2 linked regions of the Canis lupus familiaris genome follow. Each later gene encodes a partner of the first gene's protein in a complex. Links are inferred from orthologs where the notes say so. Each region holds a gene or a part of one and is shown in the gene's direction. Other genes may lie near its edges.

The links.
Region 2: the proteins of ALK (region 1) and ALKAL2 are in contact, whole or in part, in a cryo-EM structure (PDB 9G5I), measured with the Homo sapiens proteins. The link is inferred for Canis lupus familiaris from reciprocal best matches to the Homo sapiens genes ALK and ALKAL2. Residues at the interface, in NP_004295.2 of Homo sapiens: Leu684, Tyr739, His755, Ser758, Leu760, Phe856, His857, Glu859, Leu965, Tyr966, Thr967, Pro968, Leu970, Lys971, Val972, Met973, Glu974, Glu978, Asn980, Val992, Glu994, Cys995, His996, Met997, Phe1007, Asp1009; in NP_001002919.2 of Homo sapiens: Ser112, Lys113, His114, His116, Arg117, Leu118, His120, Asn121, Thr122, Arg123, Asp124, Arg133, Arg136, Leu137, Arg140, Leu141.

The regions. Positions count from the first base shown.
Region 1 is NC_049238.1:23,041,105-23,044,647, reverse strand, and holds part of ALK (ALK tyrosine kinase receptor), read left to right. Parts: intron 1-562; coding exon 563-653; intron 654-2,035; exon of another isoform or gene 2,036-2,324; coding exon of another isoform or gene 2,325-2,442; intron 2,443-3,169; coding exon 3,170-3,543. UniProt on the Homo sapiens protein: Neuronal receptor tyrosine kinase that is essentially and transiently expressed in specific regions of the central and peripheral nervous systems and plays an important role in the genesis and differentiation of the nervous system.
Region 2 is NC_049238.1:266,399-270,924, reverse strand, and holds the start of ALKAL2 (ALK and LTK ligand 2), read left to right. Parts: upstream 1-1,627; coding exon 1,628-1,913; intron 1,914-3,199; coding exon 3,200-3,253; intron 3,254-3,330; coding exon 3,331-3,411; intron 3,412-4,526. UniProt on the Homo sapiens protein: Cytokine that acts as a physiological ligand for receptor tyrosine kinases LTK and ALK, leading to their activation. Cytokine-binding is sufficient to activate LTK. In contrast, ALKAL2-driven activation of ALK is coupled with heparin-binding to ALK.

The DNA.
Region 1 (3,543 bases):
TCTGTGACTTCTGTGAGGCGGGTCAGTCTTCCAAGTCCTCGAAAGCAGTAATGTCACGTCTGTAAAGTTATCTACTGTCTGGCTGGAGACTGTGGACTCACCAGGCTCCCACTCCTCAACACCTCCTAGGAATCTGTGTCCCAGACTCCACCCCTGCTGCCCAACACCATCTGTCTTAAGTCTCCTTTAAATATTCCCATTCCCTGCATTTTCTGCTGTCCTGCCTGGCATCACTCACCTCCTTCGCACAAGCAAGGCAGAAGGGAAATATAATTAGAATATTCTTCCCCAGAGGTGACTTTAATTCAGAAATGGAAGGAGAGGAGCCAGATTTCACGTTAACAGCAGGATGTCTGTTAATGAGCTTTGGTGTTCTAGTACCTTTACACCTGGGCACGATTCCTTGGCCCATCAGCAGAGGGCAGCAGATGCCAACCACATGGGACCTAGATAAGTTGTCACTCAAAGACTGCCTCCTCTGGTCCCCCTTAGAAAAATGCTGGGAAAAATGTATGCATCCCTGTTCTCCTAGTTTTAATTAGCGTATTTACTCTTCTTTTAGGTACCGGATAATGACCCAGTGCTGGCAACATCAGCCTGAAGATAGGCCCAACTTTGCCATTATTTTGGAGAGGATTGAATACTGTACCCAGGTATAAACATTTTCCCCCTTGAACCAGCATTTATATGGAAAAGATGGCAAATACCAAACTGTGAAATGAAAGTTAAGCCAGCCAGAAAATGTGAGTTATAATCACGAGGATGATTGCTTATCTATAGTAAGACAACTGGTCCCTCGGTTTGCCCATTTTGTAAATAAATGCTAATTATTACCTCTTCCTTTGCCAACAACATGACACAGCTGCAGAACACCCAATACCATTAGGGAATCAGTTCAAATCACAAGGCTTAAACTAAATGCCTCCTGGGTAGGTAATGGTTTTTTAGACAAAACTGGAGCTTCAGAGAAATATGGGAAACATGTGCTCTCAAATAGCTTATGGTGTGGCTAGAGAGATAATAATGTGAAATAATTTTTTTTTTAATGTGAAATAATTAATCGTATATAATTGTTAAATGGGAGGTTCAATGATAAATATTAGAGGGATTCAAGGGAGGAACAAAGTAAGCTGGAGAAATTTTAACATTATCAATAGCATTAGTACAGCATCTAAATATACAGATCACTTTTCATCTATTTCATTTTGTCCTCAGGGAGATACATAAACTATCCCCCTTTTCCAGATGAGTTGAGGCTTAGAGAGGTTTTCCAAGCCTCACGGTTTCCTAGCAGTACCACTGGTCCCTATGCAGATCCTTCTCCCATTTCCTTCAGAAATAACTCGAAATTCTCCCTTTCTACACCATTTTAGCAGACCCTGCCTCCTACTTCAAGAGAGGAGAGCCTGAGAATTCATTACCCTCTTGTCTATGCATGGACGTCCGTTCTCACCATCTTCCCCACCAGTCAGTGGAGGGGGCCGTCCCCTCCCTCAGAGGAGCCCCTGCACCTGCACCACCAGCTTCCCCGGGGACCCTCCCTCCCTCCCTCCGCAGGCAGGATCTCCTCTCCACACATCAGCCTCTCTCCCTCCCTTGGCTCTCATTCTGCCAGGATATCTAACTCCAGAGAGTATTTCAGAAGTCGGGCCAGGCACCACTACCTCCCCAAATCGCCCCATCCTGGTTGTGACTGAAGCCAAATACGTGTTCAAGCCACATCATTCATTCCTAGCACTCCCGCCCTGCTCTTCCAGCAACTTCAGCTCAGAAGTGCGGAGATGGGCCTTTATCTAGATGGACTTCATTTATCAAGTTATGTAGGGTTCTTTCAGAAAACTTGCTCTTCAGTGAATGGCATCTTAGGTTGTTATGTTGTAATTCTAATAGAATATACCCACTTAAATACATATACTTTGGAGTCATTTTTCTCCCAAGTGGATAACGTCCCTCTTAAAAGCAGGTAATTCTGTACAAGCATATTTCTAATGAGTCTCCATAGAGATTAATAATTAACAGGGAAGGAACTAAAGAATAAGAGAAGCAGAAGGTATTTTTATTCTTATACTCTTTACTGATGAATACTGGACCAAAGTGCTCTTCTGCTACACCGACGCAATGGTTTTCCCATTTTGCATAAAATATTAAAGAATTAAATTCCCCCAAGCTTGAGTTTCCTTCCACAGATTTTCTTCATATCTCTGGCAACTGCTTCTGCTTTTCTATATATCCATTGCTTTAAGAATGATCTAGCACAAAGTTGTTTTTGTAAGTGGTTTTCCTCATAGCACTGCAGGACTTCCTGGGCTTCACAAAGGGCCTGGTCAGGTCCAGACCAGATAAAGAACCACTGTGTTTTCTGCACACAGAACGATACGATGATGTAACACAGCAAACATGATAATCAAGTGTAGCCCATCCAAATATGAAAATGGAAGGTAGCTAGGAAGAGAAGAGAGAAACCTTGTGAGCCAACAGTGTGTCTCTCCTCCCCTCCCCTCGTCCCTCATGTGTACACACACGCCGACCTGAAGTCAAACACCCAGATTTTTCTTTTCAGTGGCAGGGAGTTTATTGGGAACAGACTGGGATAAGTTTTTTTTAACTGATTTATAATCTTTTTAAATCCATGAATCTGTCAGATTTTCCCAAAGGTGGTTCCCTGCAAAGTCTTCCCTGATCCCACACACCCAAGCCAGGCAGTTGGTTGGCTGCATCCCAGCACCTGGCACCTCTAGACGAGTGCTTCCCCTCCACGTCCTTTTTTTGTTTTTTTTAACCCAGCAGTTTTTTATTGGAGGCCACCCCAGCTCCCAGGAGATGGGGAGAGGCCAGGGTCCACCAGCTGTGGCAGCCTGAGCAGGAGAGGCGGGCAGCACCCCCCGCCAGGGAGGACACCACCGGCATTTCTTCTCAGGGGCAGCTGGTCCTCTGAGCCTTCTTGATTTCCTCTGATAGCGCCTCCTCCAGGGCCCGATAAAAGGATGATTTCCTATTCATCTCCTATTCCCTGGTGCCTCTGAATTAAAATATCCCCAATCAACACTGAATGGTCTCCTCACGTGTAAAATCAGTTTGGATGAGACCATCAGTAAGGTATCAGCTTCCAGATCCAGCAGTTTTGGTCTGTGATTCAACATCGTAATCCGTTTGTTTCTCCTGCCTGTAGGACCCAGATGTGATCAACACTGCTTTGCCCGTAGAGTATGGCCCACTCATGGAAGAGGAGGAGAAGGTGCCCATGAGGCCCCAAGACCCTGAGGGAATTCCTCCTCTACTCGTCTCTCCTCCACAAGCTAAACGGGAGGAAGGGCCAGATCCAGCTGCCCCGCCTCCCCTGCCTTCCACTTCCTCTGGCAAAGCTGCCAAGAAGCCCACGGCTGCGGAGCTCTCTGGTCGAGTCACTAGGGGACCAGCTGTGGAAGGAGGACACGTGAACATGGCATTCTCTCAGTCCAACCCAGCGTCAGAGCTGCACAAAGTCCAGGGATCCAGAAACAAACCCACCAGCCTATGGAACCCAACTTACGGCTCATGGTTTAC
Region 2 (4,526 bases), about 23 Mb from region 1:
GGGCACCGACACTTTGGGAAATGCGGCCTCGGGGGGCGGTGCCCGGGGCTGGGTGGGGGGGGTCCCCGGGGCGGGGGGTCCCCGGGGCAGGGGCAGGGGCGTCCGCGGGGCCGCGGGCCTGGGGGCCGTCCTGGGCGGCGCGGGGCTCCCCGAACCCGACTCTAATCGACTTATTAAATGCCGAGGCAATCAGGCGGCTCCTTTTTTAATAGCCCAAGATCTACATTTAGACAAAAACAGATCTGAGTTCCTGGTAAAGGCGTTTCTTCTCATCCTGTCACAAGTGACAGGAACGGAGGGAAACAGAACGAGGGAGAGGAGGGGGAGGGGGAGGGGGAGGGGAGGCGGGATGACGGAGCAGGAGGCGGGGAGGGAGGCAGGGCGGGGGCGGGCGGGCGGCAGGGGGAGGGGGCGGCGGGGCGGGGGGGCTGGCGGGGATCCGCGCGGGCCTCGAACACCCGAGCGGCTGCTAATTAAAGCCCGCGGAGCCCTCGGGGACCGGCCTGACGTCGGCGGGCGCGGGGATAAGAGGCGGCGGCGCCCGGCCCGTCCCCGTCCCCGGCCCCGTCCCCGGCCCCGTCCCCGGCCCCGGCCCCGGCCCCGTCCCGGGCCCCGTCCGGTCCCCGCTGCGGCGCTGCGCTCCGGCCGGCGCGGGCCATGGACTAGCGGGGCCAGGACGCCGCGCTCCCCGCCGGCCCGACGCGCAGGTGCCCCGCGCAGGTGTGAGCCGCTGCCCCGCCGCGGCGCCAAGGTTCTGGGGGGGGCGGGGGCGCGGGGGTCCTAAGGGGTCCGGGGTGCGGGGTGCGGGCCCCGGGGGCGGGGGCGTCCGGCACACAAAGGCGGCGCTGGAAACTTGAGCGCAGCCGCCCGGCGGGGCGCGGCCCCCACCCACTCACGGGGAGCGCGGGGCCGCGGGGTCGGGGTCGGGGCCGGGCAGGGGCAGGGGCAGGTCGGGCGCGGGCAGGACCCCGCGGGGCGCCCCCTCCCCTCCCCTCCCGCCGGGGCCCCGCTCGCCGCGCGGCTCGGAAGGTGAAGAAAGTTGTGCCGAGGCCGCGCGCAGCCAAGTGCAGGCGGCGGGGCCGTCTCCCCGAAACTTGGAAAGGTCGGCGGGGGCGCGGGGGGCGCGGGGGGCCCTGGACCGGGTGGCGGGGACCGGCCGGGGGGCGCGGGGACTGGGTGGCGAGGAGGGGCGCGGGGGGCGCAGGAGGCGCGGGGACCAGGCGGCGGGGAGGGGCGCAGAGCCGGGGGCGCGGGGACCCAGTGGCGGGGCCGGGGCGGCGGGGAGGGGCGCAGGGGGCGCGGCGGGGCGCGGGGCCGGGGGGGGGGGGCGGGGTGGGCGCGAGGCGGCGGGTGGCGGAGACCGGGCGGGGGGTCCTGGGCCGGGCGGGGGTCGGGGGCCCAGTGGCGGGGCCGGGGCGCGGGGAGGGTCGGGGGGGGCGCGGGGAGGGCGCGCGGGGCGGCGGGTGGCGGGGGCCGGGCGGGGGCGGGGACCTGGGCCGGGCGTGGGGCCCGGGGACCCAGTGGCGGGGCCGGGGCGCGGGGCGAGGGCCGGCGTCCTTGGAGCCCCCGCCCGCCCCGACCCGCGCGGGTCCCCGCAGGCCGCGCCGCCCGCCGCGAGGAGCGCAGGATGCGCGGCCCGGGGCTCCCGCCGCTGGGGCTCCCGCCGCTGGGGCCGCCGCTGGGGCTGCTGCTGGCGCTGCTGCTGGTGCTGGGGGCGGCGCGGCCCGGGGGCACGGAGCCCGGGCAGGCGGCCGCGGGGCGCTCGCTGCTGCGGCTCGTCGTGGAGATCCTGCAGGAGCTCAGGAAGGCGCACGCGGGAGAGGCCAAGCGGCTGCACGGCCCGGGCCTGGGCCGCCGGGAGCTGTCGGAGTCGGACGGCGCGGGGCGCTCCCTCCCCGAGGAGCAGAGGGTCGGTGAGTCCCCCCCGAGGGCGCCCGCGGGGACGGGCCCTGGGACTCGCGCTGCCTGGGGAAACGCGTCTGTCTTAGCAACATAGAACCATGCCGACTGTTTGCAAAAAAAGAAAAAAAAAAAAGAGGCGATTTTTATTTTAAAGAACGAAGAAAATGGGAGGTGGGTGAATGGGGAGGCCTGGCCTAGCGCCGTCCGCACACCGCCGGGCCCCCAAGCGGTTACCTGGGTCCGGCGCTTTGGCACAGAGCTGTCAGCTGTTATTTTGGAAATGGAAATATTTTCAGCAAAGCACTTTCAACTGAGACAGAAACGTTTCGGGGCCGCCCCCCTCGCCCCCCCCCCCCCGCCCGTGGCCGAGCCTTCCCAGAGTGGGTGCCTCCTGGGAAATGTCCAAGGAAAGTAGGAGAGCTTTTAATGCTTTCCTGACACAATTAGGTCAAATGTGATAAGGTCAGTTTTATACAGACTGACACTCAGGAGACGTCTGAGCCGCACAAGTGAGTGAGGTTCACAGGAGACAGGCCCTCCTGAGACGAGGAGTCTTTGTGGCCAGGGAAGGTGCGTGCACACGTAGCCCCAGCAAAGTGAGCATCCAGAACGAGCAAGTGGAAAATGGTTACAGGTGACTGCAAAAAAAAAAAAAAAAAAGAAAAAAGCAAGCACAAAGCCTGGAATCAGAGGAGGTCTGTGGGAGCCCTGCTAGTTCCCAAGTAGAAAGACAACTGTCTTTCGGGAATCTCACTTTAAAACCAGGTAATTGTCTATTTGCATGCATGCACACCAGCCTTCATAACAGGTGGTTGTGAAGGCATTTAATCCGTTTTCTAAATATAGACCTAGAAAAAAAAGCAGTTTTATAACGATTTTTTGTTTGTTTGAAGCATTGGGTTTTCATTCTAAGACTTTGAGAGCTTGTGGGATCTGCCTACCAAGCTGCCCAAAATGCAAATGTCTGTCCACACGCGCACATGCACACACACAGCCCTTCACCCTTACGTGACTTCACGGTCGCTGTCTTCGTGCCAGTGGCAGAGACAAGTAGTACTGAAGCTCTGGGAAGAGCTAATATTCTGTCTGAATAAAAATGTGCTCCCGATGACGAATCTTCACATTATGTCCCATACAACGGTCGCAGGGGCTCCAGCCTGTTGTACTTAGTGCGTTGCCGCGTGGCTAACACAGGGTCTCCAAAGTCTTTCTTTGACATTCCTTCCGATCTCACGGGAAAAAAAAAAAAATGCTTCTAGCAAGCCATGCGAGAATTAACCTCTTTCCCTTCAAACAGAAATTGTTCCTCGAGATCTGAGGATGAAGGACAAGTTTCTAAAGCACCTTACAGGTGAGTGTCCTCATCCCGTTACCTGCGTCCGGGTCCCACATCGTGCGAGCACTCACCATCGGCTTCCTTCGTTGCAGGCCCCCTTTATTTCAGTCCCAAGTGCAGCAAACACTTCCACAGGCTGTACCACAACACCAGGGACTGCACCGTCCCCGCATGTAAGTGCGCCGTCCCCGCGGCCTCCCGCTCGCCCCCCTGGCTCCCGCCTGCCCATACGCACTCCCTCCTAACGATGCAGCGAGGGTCGGGGTGACCAGACCGCAGCAGAAGGCGGCCGCGTTCTGCAGCAGCTAGTGCCAAATGGAAAATTATTTACATTTGCTGGAATTAATCATGTCTTGGAGTGGGCCGAGCTCCTCCATTCACATTCTTGTTCTGTTTATGAATTCTGGCCTGATGTCGTCTATATTTGTATCTGCTCAATATGACAAACAAGCATCAAGAATGAGTTGCTAGGATGACTACCGCACACTGGAATGGTCTGGGGTGGACCGAGTCTGCGGGCCGGGGCCCCCCAGCCTCCCTGGACGCGGCTCCCCCGCTCGGCCTCACCGCCGACCTGGAAACGCACACCTCCCCTCAGTCCAGTCTCAGCACAGCGTTCTGATGGTTTCTCTGTAACAGAATGTATTTTATTTCCCTAAAGCGGCTGCTGTGCTCTTCATAAAATGTGTAGTGCTGGCAGGTGACACGCTAGCTGGAGTGACAGTGGTTAGAGCCCCAAACCCATTTATTTGTGACTTTTATCTCACGGGAGGCCCACAGGAGGGACGCTAGCATCCTGCCAGCTGCCTTCGGGGACCGTCCACACCAGGCTGCCCTGCCCTGATTTTAAAAAAAAAAAAAAAAGAAAAAAATCAGCCACTTTATATGAAGTGCAAGTTTTTCTGCTGAGGCAGCAGAGTTGCCCCCAAATCGACGCCGCTGCCGTGTGTGCGGCTCCTTGTACAGATGTGTGGTGAAGGTGGCCGGGGACACGGAGCTGGGTGCCCACCTGGGGGCCCTCGCCGCGCGGCTCAGCCCTGGGAGGCCGCCGCACACACGTCCCACAGAGCTGATTTTATTTTGCGAGCTCTGCTGTGGCCCACCAGGTCGTCCATGCCCAGTGCACCTGGCACGTAGCTGTTTCCCGCTTCTGTCTGAGAGTTAATCATCATTCCAGGGGCCAGAGCCCCTTCTCATGTTTATTGTTTCAATGTGCACATATATATATATATATATGTATTTTTTTTTAAGATTTTATTTATTTACTCATGAGAGACAGAGAGAGAGG